Linked DNA regions of Rhinolophus ferrumequinum. The protein of the gene in region 2 purifies or fractionates together with the protein of the main gene of each other region. This does not show direct contact. Links are inferred from orthologs where the notes say so. Each region holds a gene or a part of one and is shown on either strand. Other genes may lie near its edges.

Region 1 (7,203 bases), on a different chromosome or scaffold from region 2:
CGGATCCAGGCTGATCTGGAAGGAAGAGCCGACGAGGTTCAACATCAATCAATGGTCCAGAACTTGCTGATTAACTGAACCCCAGTGAGATCTAGCTACTAAAGACTCGGGCAAAAACCAGGACAATCCACCGCCGGTGGTCTCTGCTCACCACAAAGAACATCTGGCGCTGGTCCTTGTGGGGCAGCAAAAAGAGACGCAGCACCGTGGTGTAGGGTATCTTGTAGTCGAAGGTCTTGCCGTGCAGGTGCAGAAAGGTGGGGTAGATTCGAATGTCGTATCGGCCTCGGGGAGTCAAACACTGCAGCTCCCGGAAGATACAGATGGCGTCTCCAGTGGCCTGGATCACATCCGCCTTAGACAACACATTCTGCGCAAAGGCCTGCAAAAGCACATACTGGTCATCCAGTAGCAGGGATTCTGCTCCTGGGCCAGCTAAGGCCTGCTCAATACCATCTGCTCCCAAGGTGACCAGGGGACACCTCACCTCAACGGGGTCCACGCCATCCTCCTGGGTGGGAGGCACGTAGAAGCGCACCTCCATGAGAGAGACCTCTGCGTCATCATTCTGGTGGAACTCCAATGTCACCTCGTTTTTGCCTGTGGTGCACTGGGACACGTTGCTGAGGGGTATCTCAAAGACCGGCTGGTCGCCAATGTCAAAGGAAAGCAGCTGCCCTGTAGGGAAAGGGCTATCAGCCACCAGCTCCTCCCCTCGAGTCTGCAGAAGCCAAATTCCCAGCAGGGCACTGGGCTTACTTTGCTCAAACTGTACCCCCAAGACCAGGCACAGTGCCTGAAACACTGTTGGTCCTCAATAAATACATGATGAATTACAGACTGACAGGAAGTCAGAGACAGTGACAGAAAGAGAGCAAAACAAGTTAAAGGCTGAAACCCTTCATCCTATCTTGTCCCCAAACTTCAATCCTTGCCCAGGACTCACCACCAAACTTCACGGTTCCCCAGTTCCAGCCCTTCACACATAGGTCCTTTTCCATTAGCTCAAGGCGATAGTGAGTTTTGAAGAAATCAGAGAGTTTCTCAAACTCCTGCAAGTGGAGTGGAGAGAGTAGTCCCAGTAAACCCCAGTGCTTTTAACACAAACTTGAACATTCGGGATCATCTATGTCGGAGAAATTGCCCTGATATACCTTTTATCAGAAATCCACGTTGACTTAGAAGCTCAGCTATAAAATTGTTTAAAAGGATGTTGAAAAAGGTTGTTTCTGGGGACTGGCTCTCAGGCTGGGGGGAGAATGAAATACGGAACTGACAATTCCTCACAATGCTATCTGACTTTATAGAGGTGTTGCTTTAATGCAAGTGGAAATTAACGTGAAGTAGTCTTTAACTCAAGCAGTTCGAAATGGGAAAACAACACCCAAACTAAAGCATCAAGCTAAGACGCTGAACCTGGACAAAGGCAACAAGCAGAAACCATGAAAAAAATCAAAATGGTAGCAAATCTTCTGGAGTCAAGACACTAAGACTCCCCCAAGACTCTGCACCCAAAACTGGACACGGACTGCTGAATGACCTCGATGGCCCTGCTCTGTGGAGCCCAAACTAGCAAATACATGGTTATCAGAGGAAGGAGCCCCAACTCTCTCTACATTAAAATTAAACAAGACGACGCCATAAAAGGGGGGTTCATGGCAACAGGGCACCTCACCGATTCTCGGAAGCCGTCATACTTGTAGACATGGCCGTTCTTTGTAAGCAGTTTAAGTCCATGGCCCAGAGCCACACGGCGCCAGATGCCCTCCGTCAACTCCCCCGCCTGGATGTTGTCCACTTTGCCCGTCTTACTGTTCTTGAAGATGATGCCCTGACGGCTCAACCTCAGCCGGCCATCGTTCTGTTGGAAAAATCGACCCAAATGCACGGGGACGGTGCACAGTGCATACTGGGTACAGTCCCACCCAACACCTAGGCTGGCAGGAACAACAGCTGAAGTGGTGAGGGCCAGCAAGAAGGGACAAGTAGCCAGAAAGTCTGGATTCTAATCCGGGCTCTGGCATCCAGAACCCCTGCAGGTCCTCAGGTTGGGGATGCGGGATGGAGCAGCAGGTCCGGTCCCTTCCAACTCTGAGATCCTGTAACTCTTGTACTCTCTCACTATTGCCTTTTGTTAGGGAAACACGAGGTACGCATTATACTGACTCCTTTTTCAAAGTAGCTCTTGTTGACTGACAAAAAGTCCACTCCCTTCCCTTCTCCACCTGTAGTGGAAGCCCAAGCCCTTCTTACCATGGAGCCTTTCACCTCCTGATAGATATCATTGAATTCCAGTGTTTCTGCCATGCTGTCCTTTCCCTTTTGGGGAAAGCTGGGCCCCAACTCCTGGATGGGTGTGCAGATCCTCAGCAAGTTGGGGATCTGAATTCAAGAGGAAAACAGACGAGCGTGAAAGACAGCACTTCACTCTGCCCCCAGATGGGGCCAGGTAGCAACCGTGGCTGTGCCTGGGATGTCTCAGGATCTCCTCTGCCTAGGAGCCTACAGGAGGGCTCCGCAGAGCTCGAGGGGCCAGGCCCAGCCCCGGCTAGAGAACCAGGCCTGGAGTAGCGCTTACACCCTAACCAGACACGGGCTCTGGACGCTCCACCCGGCGCCATGGCAACGAGCAGCGGTATCCCAGGGCCTGCCTGAAGTCCGCACCTCACCCGTGCTCCAACCCAGCTCAGAGTGCAGGGTTTCCCTCCCAGAGCTCCCACCGCGCCGCGGCCCCAGGCCCACGGTTCCCCCTCCCCCTAAAATGGATTCGCCCGCTACCCGCAGATTCGAACGCGGAACGGTCCATCTCGAGCGTCCCGGGGGGAAGCGGGACCCGCGCCCTCCAGAGGCCCGGGGACGGTGACCACCCACCTCTAAAGCAGTAGCCTCGTGACGGCCCAGGTGCGGGCTGTGGGCGCGCTAGGGGATGCGGGGGAAGGGGGGTAGGGACACAGGGGGTAGGGGAACACTGGGGAACCTTTTCCCGCGTGCGCGCCCCAGAGTCCCGCCACCGGAAGCTGTGCTCGGATCATAGAGAGGATGAGATGGCTAGAGAGGTGCGAGCTCGGCCCACCTACGAGGCGGTCACATAGAGCGTCGGCGGCCCTGGAGGACCTGAGGTCGGCAGGGCGGCGAGGAAGTCCCACCCGCGTGGAATCTGGCTAGAAAATGGGTACGCGTAGGGCTTTTTAAATATTACAGACACTTCTTCAGTGAAGGACTAGGTTCTAAAGAGAAATTGTGTAGTTTTCTTTTATCAGACTTTCCACAGATGTGTGTGTATATGTGTTGGATGGATGTGGGCCCTTCTCTCCTGCCCAATAGTGGTTTCTGTAGAGTAGGAATTTGTGAGACAAGAAGAAAAATACATATTTAAAGAGTTGAGAGAAATGACCCCGCCCACTGGCTGCGAAGAGAATGCGTGTGTTGGTGTCATTGTGACTGTCCTGCTCTCCCCTGTCAGTCACATGAGATTGGATCCTTTTGGAAATGAGTTCACTGTCTGCACCCAAAAAACGTCACATGTCTAACTGCAATGTATGGTTGCCTGGAAGAGGCTGGTAAACGGAGGTATCAAGTTCAAGTGCTGGTGTCAGAGCCAGAGCTGACCTGAAACCACATCAATCTGGGATTGCCGGAGGGAGAAATGCCCTCCTCACATAGTTCTAGGATGCATCTTGCAAAATCAAAGGTGGCCAGACCCAGGAGACGAGTTTGGGTTCGCCAACTCCAACCTCCTTTTGCAGGTGGGAAAACTGAGGCCCAAAGAGGAGTTAACCAGCGTCTCATAAATTGGCAACAAATCTGGAGATTAGAACCCACATGTCCTTGCCCCAGTCCAGTTCTCTTCTGTCATAATCACAGCAACTCTACCTTCAGAACAATTGAGCGTATGTGTCCTGTGCGAAAACATTAGGACAGAAAACTTAAACTCAAGATTTCTCTGAAAATCTGACTTAAACCAGTTACACCAGCTTGCTGACTGAATCCTGGTATAACAGACAGCGGGAGTGCACTGTTGCTCCCTGAACTCATGGCTGTCACCTCTGGGTAATGGCTACTGCACCACTATCTAGCAACATAAATTCATCTGGATTCAATAAATATGTATTGAGCGCCAACAGAGTTCTAGGATCTAAGGATATTTAAGTGAACAAGATGGAAACAGCACCAGCCTTCCAGGAGCATATAATCTAACAAATGATTCAGATGAGTAAGCTGACAGTAAAACAAAAACACAACAAAAAGAAATAAATAACCCAATGTGATAATACTACAGATAGAGTTTCAGCCTCTGCCAATTTCAGTTAGAAATATGAGCTGTGACGCTCCTCGCCCCCTCCCAAGAGACCACCTGAAATATTTAAGACCACGTCCCCCTGCCCCATGCTGTTGGAGGCAACTTGGGAAGGGAGGGGATGGCTGCAGACTTGAGTGGCTTTAGGAAGACCGGAATGAAAGGGGTACTCAGAGCAGGCAGGCTATTAGGTGGCTGGGGGATGGGGCATTGCAAGGGGCTTTAAGGAGAGCATAAAGCAGCTGGTGAGCTGGGATGAAGATGCAGCATAAGAGAACGGAACAGAACAGAAACGATAGACAGAGTGCAGATAAAACATGAGTCCCAGAGGGCCCTAGCCAGCTGGATCCCAGGCAATCAGGAGCCTGGGATTGGAGACCCCACCCCTGCCATGACATCACAGGGGAGTAGGGTGGAGACGAACAAAAAGGGGTCCCCCCCCACCGCCCTGGCCTTGGACTCTTGGCAGCCCAGAGTGTCAAGAGCAGAGAGAGCCTGGGCACTGGACTAGGGTTGCCTAACTTAAAGGAACAGGCTCCCCATTCCTCAAGCCCCTCTACGCCGCCCCTCCAGGCGTTGATCCCTATCTCCCTGTCTGAGGGCTGCTCCCTCCTGAGACTGCCATTGGGTCCCTTCTGAGTGGCCCCCGAACACTCTTTCAACATGAACTGCATGTCAGATTTCTTTACCTACGAGACCACCAAGTCGGTGGTTGTGAAGAGCTGGACCATTGGGATCATCAACCGAGCAGTTCAGCTTCTGATCATCTCCTACTTTGTGGGGTGAGTCTGGCCCCCTCTCCCCTTAGTGTGGCTGTCCAGATTCCCAAGCTTCTCCTCTCTCTGGGGGAAGTCTCTTTTGTGGAGCCATGTCCTTCGGACTGGCCTCTGTGGCCCCATCGGGGATCTGGTCCTGAGATGAGTTCTTTTTCACAGTAAACCCTCCGGAGTTGAAGGGGCTTCCCGAGACACGCAGTGCGAGGGCACTACCCTCCACCAGGAGAGGTCCCAGGTGACCGTCTCCCCTCTCCCTTTTCTCATCTCTCCCCCCCAACCAGAGAACAGACAGACCCCCAAACACACATCTTCCCATTCATCTCAGTCAACCCTTTGGGGTCTCAAAAAGACAAGGGATTCCAGGAATGGGGATAGAAAGGCACTGAAACAAGGGAGCCAGTGACAGGTTGATTGCGGGGTGTCAGGAGGGCCAGCTGGAGGAGGGAAGGAGAGAACTGGATCCGCTTTAGAATGAGGGTCCCCTCCTGGCATGGAGAGATGGGGAGAGAACATGAAAAGGGGAGAAGCCGGGCTTTTGGAGGGTAGGACAAAGCGGGAAGACCTGCCCCTTGGGAGGGAGGGAGAACCACGGGCACCAATAACACTCGAGGGGAGAGCTGTTGAAGAGAAAAGTGGCTTTTCTGAACATAGTGTAGCGTCCTTCCTCAAGAAGCCAGAAACACTCCCCTTTGTCAGAAAACGTAAATTCTCTATTTTTACCTGACTTTGTACTATATAACCCAGCTGGGAGGTGCCTAAGAGCCAGCAAGGTCTGAACACCCCTGTGGCCCCCACCTCTTGAAGGCACCCACACACACACACTCACACTCACACCCATGCACAAAGGGCCATGGAACACACAATGGTGGGGGAAAACACACAGGTTCTGTCCTTCTCATGGTCCCTCACACACACGGGCATCAGGAAATACAGGCCAAAACCTCAAGGGTTTTCTTTCCCGGTGTACAGGTCTCCAGTCTCGTGCTGTTCCTTGAGACAATGGGTCTGTGTGAGAGAGACAGCAAGCCACTGATGGTTGTCATGAGTTAATTCAAGCAAGCCAAAGGAAATATCCTGTGTGCGTACGGGTGGGAGCTGCGTGTGGGGGGCCTCCTTGCCTGAAGGTCACAGTAGTGTGTGAGGGTGTGCGTGGAAATGTGGCTAGACGTGAATTAAGGGATTTTTGCTCCGCGGGCTTAGCGAGAGCCAGTAAGCTTCAGTTATGCGTGTATTGTAGACAAAGCTGTACATCCTGTACTCCTCGTGGGGACATTGGAGAAGGGACTCATGCTTCGGGGTAGGGTTAAATGGCCTTGAAGTTCTCTTCCAAGTTTGAGGTTTTGTGAGATATGATGTTTGCAAACGTTTCCTGCCCGCACCTCCGGAGATTGGCTCAGAGTTGGTTCTTAAAGCTTCCACGTTCACGGGCATGTGTGATGCACTGATGGTTTATATGCAGCCACAGGATGGTGCGTTGGTCCAGGTGAGTGCAAATGCTGCCTCAGCACATTGCCAGCCTGGCCTGACTTCGTTGGGTCCAGGCAGGAGACTGATGGAGGTGGGTAGAGGCACGGGCTCCTGGACCAGCCTCCTCAGCACCCCACTGCCCTTGTCTCTCCCGCATCAGGATGCAGTCTGGTGCTCTGATCCTCGGTGCTGGAGCCGGGCCTGCTGGAGGAAGCACGAGAGGCTCTTTGGCATCTTGATATTCATCCCCATCCATCTCCCAGCCTGACAGCTCCCCACGGGGCAGCTCCTTCCAGTTATATCGCGCCCTCTGCGGCCCAGCCCCCTGGTGTGAGCCCCATTTCTGCACACGCACGTGAGCCCATGCACCATTAGGACTTCCGGAATCCATTGTCGCTAATTTAGCAGAAATGTATTGAGCATCTCTTCATGCCAGATATTGTGCACTGAGGATAGAACGGTGGGCAAAAGCAGACAGGGTCCTCACCCTCATGGAGCAGATCATGCCAGAGATGGACATTGATCAAATAATTTCTGCCAACAAATGTAAAATCTCAACTGTGGCTCAGGGTGCTAGGAGAGACTGCTAGTATGGAGGTGTTTGACCTGATCAGAGAACCGAGGGAAGGTTTTCTGGAGATGTGGCACTCAAGCCAGAATCCG
Region 2 (7,212 bases):
TCTCTCCTCCTGAGAAAAACCTGGATACCACAATTTATCTTCTAAGTTAGGATCTCCTGAGGTCCATTCATGGTCCCCAGAGTAAGAACTCTTGCTCTAACTATATTGTACATTATTCTATTATGTATCCATAATTACCGCACTGTACTGAGATTATTTGTTTGCAAAGTCTGTTGGGAGGCTCCACTGCCCCCTATGAAGTGCCTGACTAGAGGGCTCACACTCACCTGTGTTCCCTAGGCTCAGCAAATGGCTGGCGTGTAGTAGCAGACTTCTCATGTGATTTACTGTCTAAACTAGGACGTGTCTGAGACTGAAAAGGGGCACTGTTAACAATTACAGCAGGCATGAACAGGGTCTGTCCGCAGCTCATGGAGACATCCAGTCACCCTCGGAGGCCCTGACAATTTCTTGAGGAAAGGAGTCACATCTCTTCTTTCCTGGGAATTGACAATCTGAGGATGCTCACAAGTGAACACCTTGCAGAGGGAAATACGCCAAAGAAGTTCCCTGTTATCAGAAACAACCCAAGTCACACCATGCTACACAGAACAGGAAGAGTGTCACTGGGGAATCAGAAGATGGCTTGCGTTCCCGGACATGCTCTGGGCAGGTTAACTGTCTCTCTAGGTGTCTGTGTCCTAAATTAATTTGAGATGAACTCCATTTAACAAATATCTGAATGTGTGCTCTATGTCAGATGGTAGGAAAAACACTGTTAAGTGTAGACAATGAAATGGAGGGCACTCTGCTCATGACTTCACTAAGTCCCAGGTGCCCAGATTTTACTGTTTGTTCTTCTCACACAATTACCCTGTAATCGAGGATTCTTGGCAAAGTTTAGAACTAATTCTTTAATCTTTTGATCCATAAGATGATGAACCTGCCCAGAGAACTGAATAACAACTATCCATCACTCACTGTGTCTCCACTGCCTACTGCATCTGGCAAATGGTGACTAATAAATGTTTGTTGAATTAATAAATGACAAAAGCTCATTACCTGATAAACTACCTGTTGCGTACTAAAAAGAAATTTGAAATAAGAGCCTCATTTTTAGAAGACTATACCAGCACTCAAGCATAGAGTGGGAGCTGTCTCATTTCCCAGCAGTCACTCTGGAAGGCTGCATATGGATTACAATAGCTCTGTTAAAGCACAGAACATTTTGGTAACTACCCTCCTGAGTGACCTTTCGAACCTGCAAAACACTCTCTTGGTGCTCTCAGTAGCAACAAATCTTTCTCCTCTCAAGGTGGGTCACTTTGACAAACCACAGGAAGCCATTCAGAGCCTGGTCTGGTAAGTGAGCTGAGTTATTAAGCAAGGTAAGACAATGTTTGGTCAAACCCAGGGTGTGACTACTGAATAAGACAGATTTTCTCACATGGCTTATGTATTTACTACCAAAACAGGAGTTCTCAAGAGGTTTTTGGCAAAGGAGCACCAATAAAATACAAGGATAACTTTTTGGGATAACAGCTTTAAATAGAGCAGTCTCTACCTGAATGCCTAAGTTCTGGCACATAACTTCACGTACTTACGTCACCTAAAGGAAAGATGTTGAGCGTGCTGACAAACACTACCCCCCAACTGACTAAGCCTGACCACCAAAATACTCCAGGAGGAAGCACTCACCTTGAGACGATGGATAGCTGTGCAAAACTAAAAACAAAAAACCTATTTTAAACGTGAGCAAGGTCATAGCTTACCTGTTTGCTCTCTGCAATGATTCCACAAAGCTTTCTTACAACGTTTTGAGCATTTCCCACCCAAAACTGGAGAGGCATTCCAGCCTTCGGGACACAGCTGATTAGTTTCCAGAGCTGGCTGGGTTCCACGTCTTAGATTGTAAAATCAGCAGACCAAGACTCCCCTCCCAGCTCTTGGAAGTGGGAATCAGCCTGGGTCCAGTCTCTCCCTGAGAATCCCAAACTCTGCTCTGGACAAGAACCAATCCATGGGCTGTATGATGGAGGCGAGTCTCACGGGAGAAATGAGAGCCACTGCTACGCCCCTGAACAGCACTTCAGATGTCAAACACCCTCTTCCTCCTTTTGCCCCAAATGAATCTGAAGACTGACCTACTCTTACAATTGCGTCTGCTGGCATTTAAAACGATCAACCTCTCCCCCCAGCAAACTCAGCTGTCACACAGCAGTGAGGAGAACTTAAGTTTCAGCAAGAGCAAGACTGGAAGTCTCAAAGTCTGAGGTCTTCCAGCATCATACTGACTGCAGTTAGTTTACACCAAGGATTCAGCATTCTCTGGGCTCCTATCCAAAGGGGCAAGGAAATCCCATATTCCTGAGAAAGTGGCGCCCGTCTCTAGGCACAGCCTACACCTCCCACCTGTGCACACTGGGGGAGCTGAGAGAGCAAGTTCCAGGAGGCTCCAGAGAGCTCGAAGTTCCCGAAGAGCTCATCCCCAGTCCGGGCCGGCAGCCTCCGGGGGACGAACTTGCGTGCCTACTCCCACATTTGTGGGCGGCAAACATGTGCCCCGCAAACGTCCCGGAAGAGAAATGACAGCTTCAAGAGAATCAACTCCACCGCGGGGCGCAGAGGCAGCCGCGGGGAGCTCGGGATCTGTGGGGTTTCAGGACCCCCAGGACCAGCTCGCGCAGACGGAACGCGGGATCTTGTCTATCTCAGCGTCCCCTTCCCGGGGTCCGAGAACCACGCTTCGGCCGGGGGCGCAGCCTGGAGCACTCCCCGGAGGCGGCGGCGGCGAGCTCCCCGGCCTGGGCTCCGCGCCGCCGCCACGCTCCCCTCCTGGCCGCCTCGGCCTCCTCACCGCCGGCCCAGATGCCCCGCCGCCGCCACCGCTTACCTCAGCGCGAGGGCGGGGAGGGGGCCACGGTTCCGCTGGGGTCCGGCCGGCGCAGGGAAGACGTCCCTCGGCCCTTCCGCTCTTTACAGGCTCCGGGTTGAGGCGCGACGCGGGCGGAACAAACGGGCTCCACTACCCCCGGGGGCCGGCCATTGTGCTACGTCATCAAGCCGCGACCGTCCTGCGGACCGGCGGGCTTCCCTCGCTCGCCCCGCCTTCCGCCCGCTTCCTTCCGGCCTCCGCGCGCTCCCGCCGGTGCGCGGCACGCGCCCGAGCCCGCCAGGGCGCAGGCGCCGCCCGAGGCCCCGCCCCAGGGGTGTTCTGGGTTAGTGTGCGGCTGGCGGGGTGACGGCGCCTGCGGAGAGGGCTTTTGGCGCCAGGCGGTCAAGTGACACCCCGAGCCCACGTTCCCGCCCTGGGTTCTCGGTGGGGAGCTCCGCCCGGCGCAGCGATGGGTGGTTTCGCCCTCGCAGCTTTCAATTTTAACTTCCCTCCGACTAACGAATTCCCGTTCTAATAAACGTAAGCACCCACTAAAAAATGAATATTTTTTGAGATACTGAGTTTAAATATCAAAGCCTGAACGTTTGTAACTATTTCCGTGGAACTCAATAGCTCCTGCTCTATTAAATATAGTCAGTTCAACACAAAATTAATCATTTTTGAGATACTGAGTTTGAGTATAAAAACTTAAAAATTTTAAAACTATTCCTGCTTTCTTAAGAATAATCAGCTGAGAACCTCCTACCCTGTTGGTGGGAATGTAAACTGATACAGCCGTTATGGAAACCAGTATGGAGATTCCTTAAAAAATTAAGACTAGAACTACCACGTGATCCAGCAATTCCACTTCTGGGTATTTACCTGAGGAATATGAAAACACTAATTTGAAAAGATATCTGCACTCCCATGTTTGTTGCAGTATTATTGTAATAATAATATGGAAGCAACTTGTATCTAGGTAGCCGAATGGATAAAGAACAAGTAGTATACATGTTTATATTCAAGGGACTATTATTCAGCGGTAAGAAATGTGAAATCCTACCATTTGTGACAACATGGATGGACCTTGAGGGTATTATGCTAAGTGAAATAAATCAGAGAAGGACAAATACCATATGATTTCACTCATGTGCAATGTAAAACAAAATAAACAAAAAACAAAAACAGACAAAACAAAACAAAAGCAAACTCAGAGAGACAGAGACGACAGACCTGTGGTTACCAGAGGGAAAGGGGATGGAGGGAAGGCGAAACAGGTAAAAGGGTCAATTGCGTGGTGACAGATGGAAACGACTTTTGGTGGTGAGCAGGGTGTAATACATATCTGTAGGTCAAGAATTAGGACATGGGTTAGCTGATCCTCTGCTTTGAGGTTTCTTCCAGGCTAAGACTAAACATTTAAAACAATTTCCATGGGACTAAATAACTTCCACTCTATTAAATATAAACAGTTCAACACAAAATTAATCATTTTGAGACATGGAGTGAGTTTAAATACTAAAGCTTAAACATTTTTAACTATTTCCATCAGACTAAAGAGCTCCACATCTTTTAAATGGGATGAGCTTACCAGGGTAACTTTTCATGATTAGAAGGACATGGTGTGGTACTTGGGGTATTTTTGCATCTTACCAATTGCCTTCAGGGCGGCCTGCAGAGGATCAAACTGCGCTCTCCATTTAGAGACAAGGAGCCCACTTTTAGAAGGGTACTGGGCTTGATTGAATGCTCTGCTATCCCTGCCTTCAAATTCTTAATCATTTTTGAACAAGGGGCCCATGTTTTAATTTTGCACTAGACCCTGCAAATTATGTAGCTGGTCCTGGCGGTAACTAAGGGTTTTGGGGGATGGTGAGCAAAGCAGACCTTTCTTCACCCCATCTTCCACCTCCAGAAAAACTCCTCCTCCTTGGGGCAGACTGCCACCATTTTGCCCACAAATATGAGTGTCTGGCCCACAGTGAAGTTGAATTAACTCAGGTGTTTGCCTTATGTTATCTGAATGAATGAATGAGCAAGGGAAGAAATGAAGGCATTAACATAGAGTTGTCATGTGACCGAGCAATGCCACTCCCAGGTATCTAATCCAAGAGAAATGAAACACACATGCACACAAAAACCTGTACACAACTGTTCATAGCTGTATCATTCACAATACCCCAAAGTGGAAGCAGCCTAGATGTCTATCAACTGATGATGGATAAATAAAATGTGGTCTATGCGCACCATGGAATATTATTCAGCCATATAAAGGAATGAAGTCCCCTCTCCCTCTGTGTCTCCCTCCCAATCTCTATCCCGTGAGGACACACGTAGGTGATGTCTGCAAGCCGGGAAGGCGGCTCTCACCAGAGCCAGAACCGAATCAAGCCAGCCTCCTGATCTTGGATGTCTAGTTTCTAGAACTGTGAGAAAATAAATTTCTGTTGTTTAAGGCTCCCAGCCTATGGTTTTATTATGGCAGCCTGAGCCGACTTACATATTTCATTTACATGAAATATCCAGAAGAGGCAAATCCATAGAGCCAGAACTTAGATTAGTGGTTACCAGAGCCGAAGGAGGGGAAATACGGAGTCACTGCTAAATGGGGATAAAGTTTATTTTAGGAGTGATGAAAATATTCTGAAATTAGGCAGTGGTGGTGGTTGTACAACTTTGTGGATATACTAAAAACCACTGAAGTATGCATTTTAAAAGGGTGAATTTTATGGCATCTGAATGATACCTTAATGAAACTATTATTTTTCTAAGAAGAAAAGAAATGAAGGGAAACAGGAGAGAAGGGGAGAAAATGCAGGGGGATAGCTGAGAGGAGGTGAGGGTGAAAAAGAGGAAAGGGCTGGGAGAGGTGAGGAGAGGCAAATGGGGCAGGTCTCCTGCCCAGTACCCGTGACTCTACTTCCCAACTGAGTCTTGAATTGTCTTCCCTTTTCTCCATCCCCCTTGACTCTGGTTCTAGCTACCACCACTTGCTCTGTCACTGTCCCCTGACCCCCACCCTCCCCCAGATATCCAGAGCCATCTTTCTATAATCTCGGGTTTGTTTCAGTCTCACTACTCCAGCCTGAGGCCCCCCCCCCCAGGGGCTCCCTCTGCACCCAAACACCAAAGCCTGATGTACCTGCTCTTTGTAATCTGGCCCCACCAGCCTGGCCTGCCAGTCTTCATGCTCCCTCTCTGGCTCTCAACTCGCTCCACACTTTTTCTTTGCACATGCCACTCCTGCTGCCTGGAACACTGTTCCCACCTTTCCCTCTAGCTAACTTTTTTTTTTTAAAGGACCCATCAGCTCCAAGTCAAGTAGTTGTTTCAATCTAACTGTGGAGGGCGCAGCTCACACTGGCCCATGCAGGGATCGAACCAGCAACCCTGGTGTTACAAGCATGGTGCTCTAACCAACTGAGCTAACTGGCCACCCCTCATCTAGCTAACTTTTAATCATTCTTCAGGTTTCACCTTGAATGGACCACCTACCAGAGCCCTGGTCTATTTCTGCAGGTGGGCACGAGCTCCTGGAGAGCAGGATTGCAGTGATCTCCCTGTAACCTTGGGTCAGGCATTGAGTGGCTAATCACAATGTTTGCAACATCTAGTTGTGTGTGTGTGTGTGTGTGTGTGTGTGTGTGTGTGTGTGTGTTTATTGGGGTGGAGGGGAGCATTTAGAAAGATAGAAAATGGCTGAGGTCGGATTAGAACCCAGGTCTGTCTGCCCCAGGTGTGAGAGTGAAAGCAACATCCCTCTAAGCCTCAGTTTTCCTGTTCTGTAAAGTGGGGCTATTCACACCTGCTGCAGAATGAAGAGACCACACGGTAACAGGCACAAACTTTGTTGGTTTGTGTTGCTCTTCACTCCAGCAGGCCTTGTGCCGAGCTCCTCGTGGATAAAGCCCCCATTGTTATGTCCATTTTATAGTTGGGGAAATAGAAGTGTAAAGTCACAGAGCTGCGATTTCAGCCCAGGCAGCTGGACTACAAGACCCAAGCCTTTTCTGACATAATGAACGAGGCTGTCTCCAGATTGTTACTCTGGCTGTGACATATGTAAAAGAAATGTAAACATCTGTTTTATCATTTGGGGTCACTGTCACTGATGCTGATGGGCATATTCCCCCACATTCTGAGTGCTGACAGGCTGTGGTCACATCCCGCAAGGGCCACTGGGTCAGTCAAGGACAACACCTGCACTGGCATGACTTACCATGTAAGATAGCTGCCACCACTGAGCTGTGACAGACCGTGGAACACGGAATCTGAATTTAACACGGGTGGTAAGCTACACTGAGCCACAACCACGTTGGCGAACGATGTGGTATTGCTGAGAGCAGTACCTGGTGACCAGCAATTCCACCCCAGGCATACACCTAGACAGGCGTTCT
Region 3 (7,528 bases), on a different chromosome or scaffold from region 2:
ACAAGACATAGTCTCTGCCATTAAGGAACAATCTATTGGGGTAGACAGAAAGATAAATTGCTGTAACACAGACTCACACAGAAAACTGAAAATTCAGAGAAGTATTTACCTAACTCTGATTGTGAGCAAATATTTATGGGGGGAAAAGAGTGTCTGGGAAGTAGCACCTGAGCTAATTAAGTCTGCAAGGAAAACAAGAATCAGTGGAAGAGAAAGAGAAGGAAGAGCTTTCCAGACAAAGGAAGAAACATGCACAAAAGGAAAGCAAACAAGAACTTGGAAGGGTCAAGTAATTGTAAGCACAGTTCACCATGTCGAGAGGGCAAAATGGGAGAGGGAAGTAGAGCAGAGTAGCTAAGTACAATAAATAAAATTACAAGAAATAAGATTTTCATCCACTGCCAGAGGTCGACTTCAAATCCTTATCTCCACCTCGAACATCTCTCCGGAGCCCCAAACCACTATATCAAACTGCCAACTGGATATCCCCATTTGAATGTTCCTCTGGCACTACAAACTCAGCAAGTCCAAAACTGAACTCTGCTCAAAAACTACCCATTTCCTACAAAATAAAGTCTGTACTCCTCTGTTGAGCATCAAGGAATTCTATGACCTGGCTTGGAACCACCTTTCAGGTGCCACTTCGCACTGCTACTTTCGCATACACTACAGAAGACTGACTATTCCAAGAGAATATCCTCCTTTCCTGTCTACTACTGTGGAACATACCCTCTTCCACCAAAGATCAAGTTGAGATGCCAACTGCCTTGATGAAGTCTTTCCTAATGCTCTCAAATAAAGATCTCTCCTCGGAAATCACACAACCTTTATTTGTACCAACAAAAGGGGGCTAAATAAATACCAACTGGGGTCCTAGTATGTCAGAAAGTGATGGGCATTCTGTCTCTTTATGCACTCATCACATTCTAACTTGAATCATAATGTTGTAGACCTACTCTCCAATACTTAGTTATAAACTCCTTTAAAACAAAACATCTCAATAATCCATATCCCTCCCAAGTCAAAAAATAACATTGTAATAACTAAGTATAGTGCCAGGTGGATACTAGACTAATGGGAGGATCACGTCATAAATTATATAAATGTCCAACCACTATGCTGTACACCTAAAACAAATATAAAATAAACTGCCAACTGTAATTGACAAATAAAATAATAAATTTTTAAAAATAGGCTTCAGATACAGGAAAAGGTTCCAGGAAATCAGGATCCAGAACTAAAATTTTTTTTAAAAAAAATCCATATCCCCCTATAAATTCCCACTTCTCCTTCAGGACTCAGTTCAAATGTGATCTCTACTAAGCCTTCCCCAAACATTGCCAGGATACTGTTCCTATCCTCTCATGGTCCTCAATGTTTGTCTAAGAATGAATAAAGAAATACCAGATTCTTAAATATATAAGTGAATGAATGCTAATTTTCCTAAACTAAAATACTACTAATTCATCATATGCTTCTTTCTTTCATTTTTAACTGTTCTCTATTTCTGTACACATGACAGGTTTGTTCTGATCCAACTACGGCCTCCATTGTGAGTTTTCTAAAGCCTAGGTGGAATTACAGCCAGAAAAGTATGGTCATTGAACAAAGAGCTAATTGACCTACATGAAATGCGAGACAACAAATTAATTCATTGTTAGTAAGACATGCTAAAGTTTCCAAACATTTTATTTTTATACACCTATAAACCACTCATTAAAGTAACTAGAAGACCAACGTTGACATTTTTTTATTTTGTCAAGTAAAGCATTAAGATACAACCACTACCCACTATTATCACTATCTCCAAGGAAAGAATAGTTCTCTAAAATGATTAAGTCTACACTGAAAGAAAATGTGTGGGTTCTGAGGTTTCTTTAATTTCTCTGTGGACTTTCTTAATGTTCATTTTTGACCGGCTTTCGAGAACTCATAGCTATTTAGCTACATTCAATTTACATACCGCAGAGCCAGTCATATATGTTCAGGGCCGCTCAGATTATTACCGAACGATTACTCCACAATTCCCCACCCTCGCCCCTCAAAACGACAATACTACAGTGCTTTATAGTTTGACTACAATTCTCTCAATTTTCCCCTCCTCGCAGGTATTCTCCACGCAAAAGCCGTTCCATGTAAGTATTTCATGTCCTAATGAGTGAAATCTTTCCAGGAGGTAAGTATTAAAGTTTCAGGGCAAACTGGAGAACGCCGCAATCCTAAACCGAATGAGTGCCACATCTGGGCAACCCAACTCCCGTTAGGAAATGGACCTAGTAGAAGGGAGTTAGGAACCACGAAGCCAAGGTGAGCTGATCGGTTACCTGCACTACTGTCAAACACAAGCGGTCTGAGGACCCTTCCCAAACACCCCCTGAGGTACACCTGAGAACCAAGATCATTTCAAGGCCTAAAGCTGAAGGGGGGAGGGGGAGAGCAAAACAAGCTGAGCAGCCACCTCAACCAAAGAGGCGGGAGCCTGAGGTAACAACGCAGAGAAATGTGGGGGCCACCGTTGCCCTCCCTCAGACGCAGTACCCACACACTGCTGGGAGGGAGGGGGGGTGTATGTGAGGAATTAAAGCGGCAACCGGCAGGAAGAAAAGTGGAAGCACGCCTAAGGATTTTTTTGTAAGGGTACCAAAGTCGAGAAGCAGGGTCAGAATCAAATAGTGAAGACTTACCTCAGCGTTCGGGTGCTTAAAAGTATCTAAAAATAACAGCTCCATCGCTGAGTCCACCGCCATGTTTGCCACGGGAGGGGAAAGGGGGAGGACTTCCGGGGCAGCCGTCCAACCTCAGCGACTGCGGCTCAGGAGACAGAGAGATAGACAGAGAGTGAGAGAGAGGGAGACGGAGAGGGAGAGGGAGAGGGGGAGGGGAGGGGGAAAGAGAGGGAGGGAGAGACAGAGAGACAGAGACAGAGAGACAGAAAGACAGAGAGAGACAGCAGCACTTCCGGAGACCGGAGCGCTAGTGCCTCAAGCCTTGGCCTATCCCGAAGCGCGGTACTTCCCGAAGTCGCCGGCCCCGCCTACTCCAGCGCGGCGGAGGGCTCCCTCGAAGCACCGAAGAGGTGGAGGGAGAAGAGGGGAGGACTACGGTGACTCCAGTGGTCCAAACTCTGTTATTCTACCGCGTTACAAAGCCGCAATGGCCTCGGAGTGGCGGAGTGTCGAGCAGGTTTTGAAGAGGTGGAGGAGTGGGGAAAGCTGCCGGCTCTGGATACCCAGTGAAACCGCCAGCAAGCAGACAGTTTTTCCAAGACTGGCATGAAAAAAGTGCAATTATCTAAGTTGAATAGTAAGACACTTCTTAAAAAGAAGAAAAGAAACGTCTTAAAACGAAGAGATTTTTTTCTCATCTTCAAAATGTAAATAATAATACCCAACCCACAGGCTTTTTGTGAGGATAAATTGAAATAAAAATTCAAGAAATTGTATAACGTGAAATGCCATCAACATCAAAATGTAGAGTGAAAAGTCGCCGTCTCCCTGTTGAGCATTGCAGCAACTGGAACTATTTGGTAGTCTATATAGACAGGAGTGCTTGGGAAAGCAATTAGGAATTATTTAGTGAAATTACACGTGCCTACCTCACTTCTAGGAAAATTCTTGCACTCGTGCCCAAAGATACACCTACAGATACAAGAATGTACATGGCAACACTATATTGCAAAAAAAGCTGTAAACTTGTCATTAACGAGAATAATAAGTAAACCTTGGTATATTTATACAACGTGGTTGTTGTATATAGCAGGTAGAAGGAGTGAACTAGTGCTATATCTACTAACATGGATAATCTAAAAAACGGTTAAGCAAACAGGTTGAAGAATAGTGTAAAATCACCTTTATATAGTTCAAAACATGCAAAATTACGTAAATTTTTAGGGGCATATATGTTTTAAAATTATGAAGAAATGCATTGGAATGATAAACACTAAAATGTCAAGATAGTGGTGAACTGGAGGGAGATGTAATTGAGAAGTGCACAGGGGCTTCAAATGCTTTGGTAATATTTTGTTCTTTAGATTGGTGGTGGTTTCACAGTTGTGTCTTACATTATTGTCTGTGCCTTTTGATATGTCTGAAATATTTAATAATGCATTCATTTTTCAGTTTTAAAGTAAATGTCCCATCCACCCCTTCCTCAGCCACCAGTTTCCTCTGTTAACTAATAGTTTGTCTCTTTTACTATTTGTTTTTTCAAAGAACCAGTTCTTGCATTCGTATTTATTATTTCCAGCGTTTTTCTATTTTCTGATTCTTTAGTTTCTGCTTTGGAATTTACTAATTCCTTCTGCTTTAACTTCTATAGTGATGCTTAAGTTATTTATATTCATATATCTTATTACTATATATATTTATGTCTACCAACTTTCACCTAGGCTCTGCTTTAACTGTTAATATACCTTATAGTGCTTTATATTATTGGTATATTTTACATAGTCTGATTTTCTTAGCTTTGATTTTCATTTTGACCTAAGAGTAGTGTGCGATAGCTATTTTTTTAACTAATAGACTATTTTTTAGAGTAGTTTTAGTTTTCCAGGTAATTGACCAGATAATTCAGAGCTCCCATATATTCCGTTTTTCCCCTGTTCAAGGATTCCTCTATTATTAATATCTTGTATTGATGTGATGCATTTATTATAATTGAACCAGTATTGACATATTATTATTAACTAAAGTCCGTGACTTACATTAGGATTCACTATTTGTGTTGCTCATATGTACTATATGTATATTTGAATTTATAGACTATCTCTGAAGGAATTATGCAAGAAACTGAGAATAGTTGTTGCCTCCTGGGAGGGAGCTTGATGGCTAAGGTACAGAAATAGAGGGACTCTGTTTCCATGTACATATATTACCTATTAAGTAAAATTTTAAAAGATTAATAAAAATTGAGGAGTAGAGGAAATCTTGTATAAACATCTCTTCCAAGAAATTTGTTGCATAGAACAGAGAAATTAGGTGGTTGTTCGAGGGGAACATGGGGTCAAGAGAGAGTGTTTTTAAGATGGGGGCATAAATGACATAAATGTTATACAGAGTGTGCAGACTGATGGGAATGAAGCAATGGAGAGAGAAACAGTGATGAAGAAGAGAGAAAGGGGATATCTGAGGCAGCAAAGTATTGAGTATGTGGGCAGGGAACCCAAGTAGAAAGTGACCTTTGCTAGAAAAATCACCTGCTCCCTGGTAACAAGGGGAAAGGAGTCCATGGGTGCACATACAGATAGGAATAATGACTTAGTATGTGGAAATGAGGGAGTTCCTTTTTAATGGTTTCTTTGTCTCAATGAGATCATCAGCTATGACTGAGAGGGCAGAAAGATGTCTAAGAGGTCAAAGAAGAGAGAAGGTATTAACTAGACTTCCGGGAGAGCCCCGAATCCCTGGTTGGCTATCTATCACCTCTCATAGTTTGTAAGGCATCATACTCACTTCTTGCTCACTCTTTCACCTTGTCCCTACCACACCACTTTGATGATTCAGCCATTCCCAGCTAGATGTAGCTCGCCTAATACAGAGGTAAGAGATATAAGAGATGTGAATCTCTTACATGGTTTTCTTTGCTTTGAATGTGACTCCTCAATACGGCTTTCAAAAATCTACACACAGTTAAAATATAATGCAAAAGAATAAAATAGCTAAGGAATAACTAACCAAGAAGGTGAAAGGCTTGTACACTGAAAACTACAAAATATTGCTGGAAAAAAAATTAAAGAAGACTCAAATAAATGGAAAGACATCCATGTTTATGGATTAGAAGACTTAATATTGTTAAGATTACAATGTTACCCAAAGTGATCTATAGATTTAATGTAATCCCTATCATAATTCTAATAGTTTTTTTTTAGAAATGGAAAATATGATCCTCAAATTAATACAGAATTGCAGAGGAACCCCAAATAGTCAAAATAATCTTTGAAAAGAACAAGTTTGGAGGACACACACTCCTAATTTTAAAACTTACTGTAAAACTACAGTAATCAAAACTAGTAATGGCATAAATGTAAACATGTAGACCCAATGGAATAGAATTAAGAGTCCAGAAATAAACCTTAACATACTCGTATATACTGAATTGATTTTCAACAAGAGTGTCAGGGCTATTTGATAGGGAAAGAATAATCTCTTCAATAAATGGTGCTCGGATAACTGGCTATATGCAAAAGAATGCATTTGGACCCTTATCTAATGCCATATACAAAAATGAACTCAAAATGGATGAAGGACCTAAATATAAGAGCTAAAATCATGAAACTCTTAGAAGACAACATACAGGTAAATCTTCACTGCCTGGGATTTGGCAATAGATTCATAGATATGATACAAAAAACACAAGCAACAAAGGAAAAAATAAATTGGACTTCCTCAAAATTAAAAACTTTTGTGCATCAAACTTAAACTATCAAGAGAGTAAAAAGAAAACCTACAGAATGGGAGAATATATTTGCCAATTATATATTTGATAAGGGTCTACTCTCCAGAATACGTAAAGAACTCTTACAACGCAACAACAAAAAGATAAACCAACCGGTTAAAAAATGGGCAAAAGGACTTCAATACACATTTCTCCAAAGAAGTTGTACAAATGACCAATAAGCACATGAAAAGATGTTCAACATCTTTAGTTATGAGGGAAAGGTAAATCAAAATTACAATGAAATACTTCACACCCATTAGGATGACTATAACTTTAAAAAATAAGTGTTGGCAAGGATGTAGAGAAATTGGAACCCTTGTATATTGATAGTGGGAATGTAAACTGTTACAGCTGCTGTGGAAAGCAGTTTGGCAGTTCCTCAAAAAGTTAAACAGAATTATCATATGACCAAGCAATTTTACTGCTGGGTATGTACCAAAAGAATTGAAAACAGGTGCTAAATTACTTTTACACACATGTTCAGAACAGCACTACTCACAATGCCCAAAAGGTCAAAACAACCCAAATATCCATCGACAAATAAATGGATAAACAAAATGTGGTATATTCATACTCCCTATCCCCTTATTGTCTACTCCTACTCCTCAAGAGATTTGATATTCACACATTTCTTTTTTTTATTATTACTTTATATTAATTTCAGGTGTACGGCATAGTGGCTAGACATATATGAGGTGTGATCAAACAATATGGTGAATGTTTAAATAAAAAAATTTATTACACTAAAAGACACATTGCCATTAATCCCTCTCAAAATATTCCCCCTCCCTTGAAACACACTTATCCCATCATTCTTGCCACTTTCTGAAACAGTTCTGGAAGTCCTCTTTCGTGAGTCTTTAGTTGCGCTGTCGTGGCTGCCTCGATGTCCTGAATCATTTTGACTTTAGGGAAGAGCCAGAAGTTGAACGATGTCAGATCCGGTGAATAAGGTGGATGAGAACAGACCGTAATGGTTTTATTTGACAGAGATTGCTGTATACCTGAAGCGATGTGTGACATGGAGCAATTGTCATGATGATGGATGATTTACAGAACACTTTAAAACACACCTTCTCTCAATCATAGCTCA
Region 4 (7,572 bases), on a different chromosome or scaffold from region 2:
GTTTCTAACCCTTTTAGTCACAGAAATTATTAATAATCAATCTCATAAAAGCTACAGACCTTCTCCCAGGAAACACACTTTGAGTGTGCCATTTCAGGGGATTCACACACCGCTGACACTCATCTGTGGAACCACATTAAGTACCCTTTTCTAGAAGATGCTTAAATACTGGTTGACAATCAAAGTGGTCAATTGATCTAATAGAACTTATTCTAAAATTTTCCTTAATTTCACATGCATATGCAATGTTTTTAGCATAAAAGTATTGAGATATGCTTGTTTTACTATATTATAAAAACATATTTAATAACTTAAAATTTTTATTTTTGTGGAAAGAAATTTGGTATGTTTACGTGATAAAGATATATTTTAAAAAGTAAATTCTTGAGTATCTACTCTATTTGTTACACAAAGCCATGCAAATAATGGAAAATTGTTTTCCTTTTGGTTTTTGTTGGACAAACTTTTTTCTATGCATTATACCAACTGGTAGGTTAAGAACTGAAAAAAGCTGTTATAGCGTTTACCTTACAGGATGATTTTGGACAGAATAAAAGCTTTTCTGTTCACAAAGCACAGAAATGCCTAAAGTGCTGACTGACATAGCAATTAAAGAAATTTCTCCCAGGAACATTTAAATTCTATCTTACATGATTCTTAGAGGACTCAAATGAAATAACATACGTAGCTAGTAAGTACAAAATAGTATTTTCTACTTTGGATATATCTCTCACAACCACACTGGGATTTTTTAACTCAGACTGGGATTCTTTTGTTTTGTTTTAAGTGGCAAACAGGAAGGAGGGGGCGGTGAGGAGGAATAAGCATCTATTATTTCAGTGTCACATAGTACAAAAAGCAGTCCAAACTGCAAAGAATAAAATTACTACCAATTATAGAATATTTAGTATCAAAACATATTTTAATTTTTCAAGATAGGTAGAAATTAGAAAACTAACACTTTTGGCATTTGCTATGTGTCAAAACTTTATACGCATTGTTTGATTTAATCATCAAATTAACTTAGGGCTGAAAGATCCATTGTATAGGTGGATGAGGTCCTGAGGCCTCAGAATGAATGCCAGAGTGGCAATTTAAACGCAGGTTTGCCTACAAAACCACTGTCGCAAATACTCTTTAGTGCTTAATAAGTATTTAATAAAAGCAATTTTCAGCTCCACAAACATTTGCTAGGTACCACCAAAGCAGTGTGTTAAAGAACACAAATCTAGTGGCGGGAGCCAGAAAATTCATTACCAAATGGCATTAGAAGAAAAAGTAGTGCAAAGTATTTTGGGTCCAAATAAAATGCAACAAATTTTACATTGGTTGAAGTGTGTGCGTGTGTATGTAGGATATATATATGTGTCTGTATGTAGTATATATATATTAACTCACAACAAATTCACAAAGATTTTAAATGTTCATTTTTATGGGATAAAGACAAATTAGCAACACCGAAGCATTCAACAACACTATATACAAACCCAATTTGATGCTAATGAAAGATACTGTAGAAAAGATGTAGAAAATAAAAACAATCTATACCTGTTGCTTTAACGGCTGTGGGTCTGGCAGTCATGACTGGTTTTGGAGGATTCTGAACAACTCTGGGAACCTCCACCACCACTTCCTGTTCATCTGGATTTAGAAAATGAACAAAAGAAAACTACAGTCAGATGATGGACCAGAGAAAACACTATAGGTGACAAAATAATCTTTGATTTAACCTTTCAACTCTAAATTTCATCAATTTAAAAGCAGGGTGTATAATCCATCACTGACCCAAATAAGTGGGAGATGAAAAACAAGTAGAGCTAGAATCTTCCAACTACCTAATTACTTTTTTTTATCTTTTCTTTTCTCCACCTAGTGACTTTAACATTAAGAACCTGAACGTTACCTATAAAAATTACACCTGAAATAATTTAAAAATACACAAACACATCATCTCCAGGCTACCACAGGGCCTTTACAACAAGCACAGCTATAGCATGTTTTTCCCCGCATGAGCTACCAACGTGATTTTTTTTTTTAACACCTAAAATAACCACTCCAGGGTCTGGCTTATAGAAGCGTTGTCCAGTTACTCTTAATTCAAGTACCATTCCGAGGAGAAACACACAAGTACTTGGGAACCCACAAGCTCTACTTCTCCAGGAATTTTTGGGATACCCGCCAACTTGGGCTTACTTACACTTTAGCTGGCATAGTAAAAAGGGTTTGCTCACTTCTAAAGGGTCTCTTTCAGTATCAACAAAAACGAAGGGAAAAGCGGATGATGTGCAGAAAAGATCAGGTTCCAGACATCAAGCCTCGAACGCGGAAACGCATACTCACATCTACCCCGTAAGTTATCCAATACCGAGCGTGGACGTTGACGAAACTCTGGGTGCCCGGGCCAACCCCTGCAACAGAGATGGCGCCTCTGGGACTGGCGCGCGCGATTCCGCGGCCCCTTCCGCCACGTTGGGGCACACTGCCGTCCTTCCCGCAGGCCCCACGCAGCAGGCCTCGGATGCAGACGCCGCCCGCCAGGATTCTCTTCCTCCCCGGCCTTGCCCGGGAGGTCTAGGCCGCAACAAGACCCGAGCTCGAGTTGTGGACGCCCCACCTAGGGGCCGAGGTCCCTCGCGCACCCTTACCTTCAGAAGGCGAATCTTCCGGGGCCGGGGCGGCAGTCACCGCGGTGGTCGTCGTCGGCGGCGGCGCCGGCGGGGCTGACTGGCTGGGCGCCACCGCCGTCGAGTCCGGCTCGGTGTCGGGTTCCGGCTCCGGGTCCCGGCCAGGTGTGCTGCTCCGGGGACCCGGTGGAGAGAGCTGTAAGATAGGCCTGCGGCCGGGCACCGCCCGGGACTTCTTCCCCATCGCGAGCCCAAGCGCGAGCTGCTAGCGTCGGACAGCCGAGAGGGGAGGGTGCTCGGCGTGGCGCTGCGTAATCAATATTCATGTACGGTGACCCCGCCTCCTGCGAGGATCCACTTTTAACCGCGGAGCGCGCGCCAGCGCAAGCGCCTTGAGCACTTTATGTTCTGGCTTCTCTCCCCAGAGAGGGAGGGCGGGCTTTATCCACCGCGCTCAGCGATTGGTTATTTTGACCCATTGAAGGAATCTTTAGCCAATTGAAAAGGAAAAAGAGTGAGCGTCAAGCCAATAGTGCGGAAGGGCCTGAGTTTAGAATTACTTGCCCATCACGTGGGGCTCCACCCAGGCATTTTTGCGGAGTCTTTTCTTCACCCTCTTGTCCTCCATCTTGTGTCTGTTTTGGACTTACTGTTCATCTTCGTTTGTCCTCTAGGAAGCTATGCTGATTTGAGGGCCTTTCCCCGAGTTTCACCCTGATTATTGTGGTTTACTTTGGGTATAGCATTGAACACTAAATAGAATAGTGGTCTTTTATGCTTTTATAAATGTTTATTTTAGCGCACAAAGATGATGTTGCTCATCAGCTGGGGGAAAAAATCACTAGAAGTGCAGCAGGATAGGTAGCCTAGGAAATTGACAACCCCCTCCAGGATACAACATGAAGGACCTCACTGGTTACACAAGTAACAAGTGACTATCCACCACCTGCAGCTGGAGAAAAACAACCAGTTTCATCCAGTAAGGCTAATCCCTATGACCTTGGGATCTGACGTTTAGCCAATTTTAATGTCATTATAATGTCATTTGCATTGCGGTTACTGTGCCTCCCATCATGCATCTGAGACCATGATGGTCTCGGAGGAATCATTTAAGGAAGAAAAAGGAAACGGAGGGTCCCACCCAGAGGGCTGAGATGAATGAATCACGTCAATGGGATGTCACCAGTTCCTTCCCTGGGAGGAATAAAAATCTCTGATCATGACTTCCTCCATGAGATACCTTCTCTCAGTTGGTCCACACTTTCTTCTCAAGATTTATTTCTGTTTTCAATAAATCGCTTTTGCTTTCCTGCATTTGTTTTGCTTGTGAATTCTTTCTTATGCAGTGTCAAGAATCTGGTCACCGCTGCTCTGGGTTGAGTTCTCTCTTGGACATACCCATTAGCCTCTGGTGACATTTCTGGCCACTCAGATGGGAAATCTTTGCCATTGCCCGAGCACTTAAGGTCTTGAAGACTCCCATGACAGAATAAGTTGGTCATGGATCAGGGTAGATTGGCTGTAGGCTTCCCTACCAAAATGAAGAAAATATCCGTGCAATGAGGTACACAGTTCCACAATCATACCTCTCCACTTTCCCCGTGGCAATTTCCCGTCTCAGGATTAGTACGGCCTCCGAGATTCTGGACTTCTCTGTTATCCAATCTGTCTGTCTAGCCTGTCTATAATAGTGGAATCTGTCGCGACAAACTATTTGCATATCCTGGGATCACTTTTTCATCCTCATCTTCTATGAACAGGCCCAGGCTCCCCTCCTCCTCTTTTGACTTTCCTGCCTTTTGGTCTCTTGCGGCCTCTGGGTTTGACAGCTGTCAGTCTGCTGCCCATGGCCCCAATATATCAGTGCTGATTGGGCACAGAGGGGTGGTCTCTCTCAGTGGTCTAGCGGTTAGGATTTGGCACTTTCAGTGCTGCAGCCCAGGTTGGATTCCTGATGTGACAACCAGTCTTAGACCAATCTTGCAGGTGAAATCCATTCAGTCTTTAGATCACTTATTTGCCATTCCCACTGATTATCACAGAGACAATCTAGGAGTTCTTCCCTCCAGGAGTTTTGTATTTTTCGGGTCATTTTTGTGCGCCATGAGGTCCTTTTTCAGGAGAGATCCAAATATCATTTTACAAAGTCCCACTCCCTCTGTCCTACTAGCCCGGCTTCTGTTGCCTGGAAACCTCTGTTCTGCTCTAAACCCCGGAATCGCCAGGGGTCAAGAGCTCTCAATACTGGGGACTGCCCAGGTCTACCCTGGGGACACCCGGGTTTTGCTGGTCAGACACCAAGAGCCAGTGGATGCCCTCCTCCCTAGTCTGACCTAGTTTCTGTTTTCTTGTTCTAGGCATCATGAGAAATTCCTAGTCTACACCTGAAGACTCATCACTCGGCTGCATAGTAAATAACGAAAAATTTTAAATTGGTCAGCCTTATTTTCTTTTGCAATATGTCCTGGCCCCAATATAAACTAGGGGACAGGGAAAACTAGCTGGAAAATGGGACCCTAAAGTATAACACAATTCTCCAACTAGACCTCTTCTGTAAAGGAGAAGGAAAATGGACAGCGATTCTGTATGTACAGATGGCCCTCTATCGAGACCCAGAAAAGACTGGCTCCTGTAAAATTTGTTATGCTCACACTCCCCTGGCTGCCCCACTTAAAGATAATCCTGACCTCTTGGACGGTCGCCTTCTATCGGGAATGCTGTTGTCCTGTCAGGGAAGGGGTTTGATAAGAGCAGCGAGGTCCAGGGCCGGAACACCCAGTTTCTTCAGTTTATCCCTTGCCCTCTCCTCCACCTACAAGTTCCAGCTCACCTCCTCCCCCGTTCTCCTCTATTCCCCCTGACACTCCTTGCCAAAAGAGATGGCTGAACTTAGCCCCCCAGGACATACCCAGAGTGGAGCTTCTCACCACCCGGATTCTACCAAATTATGTCTACTCAGAGAGGTTGCAAATGGAGATGCAGGGACCATTAGAATCCATGCCTTATTCTCCATGACAATCCTTGCCCGATGCAAAATTAAGTTAGGATATTTCTGAGGACCTGAGTGAATTTACTGATGAATTCCAGGCCTTCACAATGCCTTTCATCTAACCTGGAGAGACGTCCTGATAGTCATGTCCGCTTGCTGCACTCCTGAAGAAAAACATAGACTCTGGCTCACAGCCCAAGGACATGCAGATAGGATGGCTGCCGCCCAGCCAGACAGACCCCACAGGGAACAACTGTGCTCCCAAATCAGGACCCTGCCTGGAATTATCATTTGAGGCAGGGAGATCTTATTAAAAGGGACCATATGGTGCTTTGTCTAACTGAAGGTATGAAAAATGTATAGTCAAACTACTCAATTATGAAAAGGTCAAGGAGGTTACTTAGGAATGGGGGTGGGGGGGGCGGAATCCAGCCTTGTTTCAGGGGCAGCTGGTCAAGGCTTTCAGAAAATTTACCAATATTGACCCTTCCTCTCCTGAGGGAAAATCTCTGCTTGGCCAGCATTTCGTCAGTCAGTCTCCTCCTGATATCAGGAGAAAGATGCAAAAACTGCACTCTGGCCCTCTGACCCCAGTGGCTCAATTGTTGCTTATGGCCTTTGGAGTCTAACAATTGAGACCAGGTTAAGGAGGATAAAAAGACCCCGTGTGAGACCAGGCAGGCCAGGTGACAGGCTCAAATGGTAGTGGTCACTATCAGCAGCGCCCTGCAACCTCAGGATCACCCCACAGAGATAAAGGGATGGTCTATAGGGACATTCCCCACAGCCCCGAAGGGGGGCTGCTTTAGCTGTGGAAAATCTGGGCACTGGAGCAACCAGTGTCGTTGCTCCAGGAAACAGCCCCTGGGTCCTGTCCTCAATGCAACCAATCAGGCCACTGGAAGAGGGAATGCCCCTGGCTCTGAAGGGAACTGGGGGCACCTAAACCCATAATGGTCCTATCTGTGGAGGACTGAGGAGCACAGGCCTTCTGGTGATGCCTTATGAAAGACGTCATTTGTGATTATGCAAAAACCTTGGGTGACCCTTGATGTACCGTAGCAGGTAAGAAAATAGATTTTTAATTGTTACGGTAGCCACCTACTCTGTCTTGACAGATCATGCACAGGACTTTGACCTCTAAAGCTGGCACCATCACTGAGGTAGATGGCCAACCTAAAAAAAGATATTTCACCCCACCCCTTTGCTATGGCCTCCAAGACTGTCTAGTCTAGTCTGTTAAAAATTCTTAGTTATGCCAGAATGCCCCACTCCCTTAATGGGAAGGGATTTAATGATGGCTCTGGGCACGAACATCCAGCTTCTTGACTCACCCCATGAACTCAATCGTTTGATGTCGCTCTTGGCCTCAGACTCTGACCCAACCAAGGTTCCTGTGGATCTCATCCCGGCCCATATGTGATTGGCTGTAAATCCTATAGTATGGGATAAGGGAATGCCTGGAAAGTCTAATCTACTCAGGTACCTTCTATAAAGATTAGGATAAAGGAAACAGCAGGATACCCATGCAAGCGCCAATACTTGAGACCAGAAGCTCATCGGGAACTAAAACCCCACATTGATAAATGTATTTGTCATGGGCTGACAATCCTCAGTCCCCTTATAACTCCCATATACTGCCTGTAAAAAAGCCAAATGGAGAATATTGTATGGTCCAGGACTTGAGAGCTGTCAATGAGGCTAGTCCCAAACTCTTACATCCTTTTGACTGAAGTTCTCCATGATGCAATGTGGTTAGTAGTAGAATTCTCATCACCTGCCCCATGGGAAACCCGGGTTCGATTCCCGGCCAATACACCCAAGATAGTGGACGAAAGACCAGAAGTTATTACCTCCTTACAGGGATAAATAGAAAATTCCACGGCTTAATAGCTATTTTCTGTTTAGGTTTTCTCTTAGCTCTTATTTTTCCCTTCACCTGTGCCCCTCCCGGCACCC

The links.
Region 1: the proteins of ZC3H18 (region 2) and SSRP1 purify together in Homo sapiens (affinity purification with mass spectrometry; 3 studies listed by BioGRID and IntAct, with this or other methods). This does not show direct contact. The link is inferred for Rhinolophus ferrumequinum from reciprocal best matches to the Homo sapiens genes ZC3H18 and SSRP1.
Region 3: the proteins of ZC3H18 (region 2) and VIRMA purify together in Homo sapiens (affinity purification with mass spectrometry; 3 studies listed by BioGRID and IntAct, counting the BioPlex papers as one, with this or other methods). This does not show direct contact. The link is inferred for Rhinolophus ferrumequinum from reciprocal best matches to the Homo sapiens genes ZC3H18 and VIRMA.
Region 4: the proteins of ZC3H18 (region 2) and FNBP4 purify together in Homo sapiens (affinity purification with mass spectrometry; 3 studies listed by BioGRID and IntAct, counting the BioPlex papers as one, with this or other methods). This does not show direct contact. The link is inferred for Rhinolophus ferrumequinum from reciprocal best matches to the Homo sapiens genes ZC3H18 and FNBP4.

Annotation. Positions count from the first base shown.
Region 1 is NC_046294.1:11,754,399-11,761,601, reverse strand, and holds the start of SSRP1 (FACT complex subunit SSRP1), read right to left. Parts: upstream 3,012-7,203; 5' UTR 2,872-3,011; intron 2,383-2,871; 5' UTR 2,308-2,382; coding exon 2,254-2,307; intron 1,862-2,253; coding exon 1,676-1,861; intron 1,053-1,675; coding exon 947-1,052; intron 679-946; coding exon 488-678; intron 383-487; coding exon 152-382; intron 16-151; coding exon 1-15. Other genes in the region: P2RX3 (P2X purinoceptor 3), read left to right, coding at 4,961-5,079. UniProt on the Homo sapiens protein: Component of the FACT complex, a general chromatin factor that acts to reorganize nucleosomes. The FACT complex is involved in multiple processes that require DNA as a template such as mRNA elongation, DNA replication and DNA repair.
Region 2 is NC_046298.1:33,214,168-33,221,379, reverse strand, and holds the start of ZC3H18 (zinc finger CCCH domain-containing protein 18), read right to left. Parts: upstream 3,014-7,212; 5' UTR 2,834-3,013; intron 1-2,833.
Region 3 is NC_046297.1:35,890,423-35,897,950, forward strand, and holds the start of VIRMA (protein virilizer homolog), read right to left. Parts: upstream 3,001-7,528; 5' UTR 2,748-3,000; coding exon 2,685-2,747; intron 1-2,684. UniProt on the Homo sapiens protein: Associated component of the WMM complex, a complex that mediates N6-methyladenosine (m6A) methylation of RNAs, a modification that plays a role in the efficiency of mRNA splicing and RNA processing.
Region 4 is NC_046294.1:13,559,152-13,566,723, reverse strand, and holds the start of FNBP4 (formin-binding protein 4), read right to left. Parts: upstream 3,010-7,572; 5' UTR 2,869-3,009; coding exon 2,646-2,868; intron 2,409-2,645; exon of another isoform or gene 2,341-2,408; intron 1,642-2,340; coding exon 1,549-1,641; intron 1-1,548.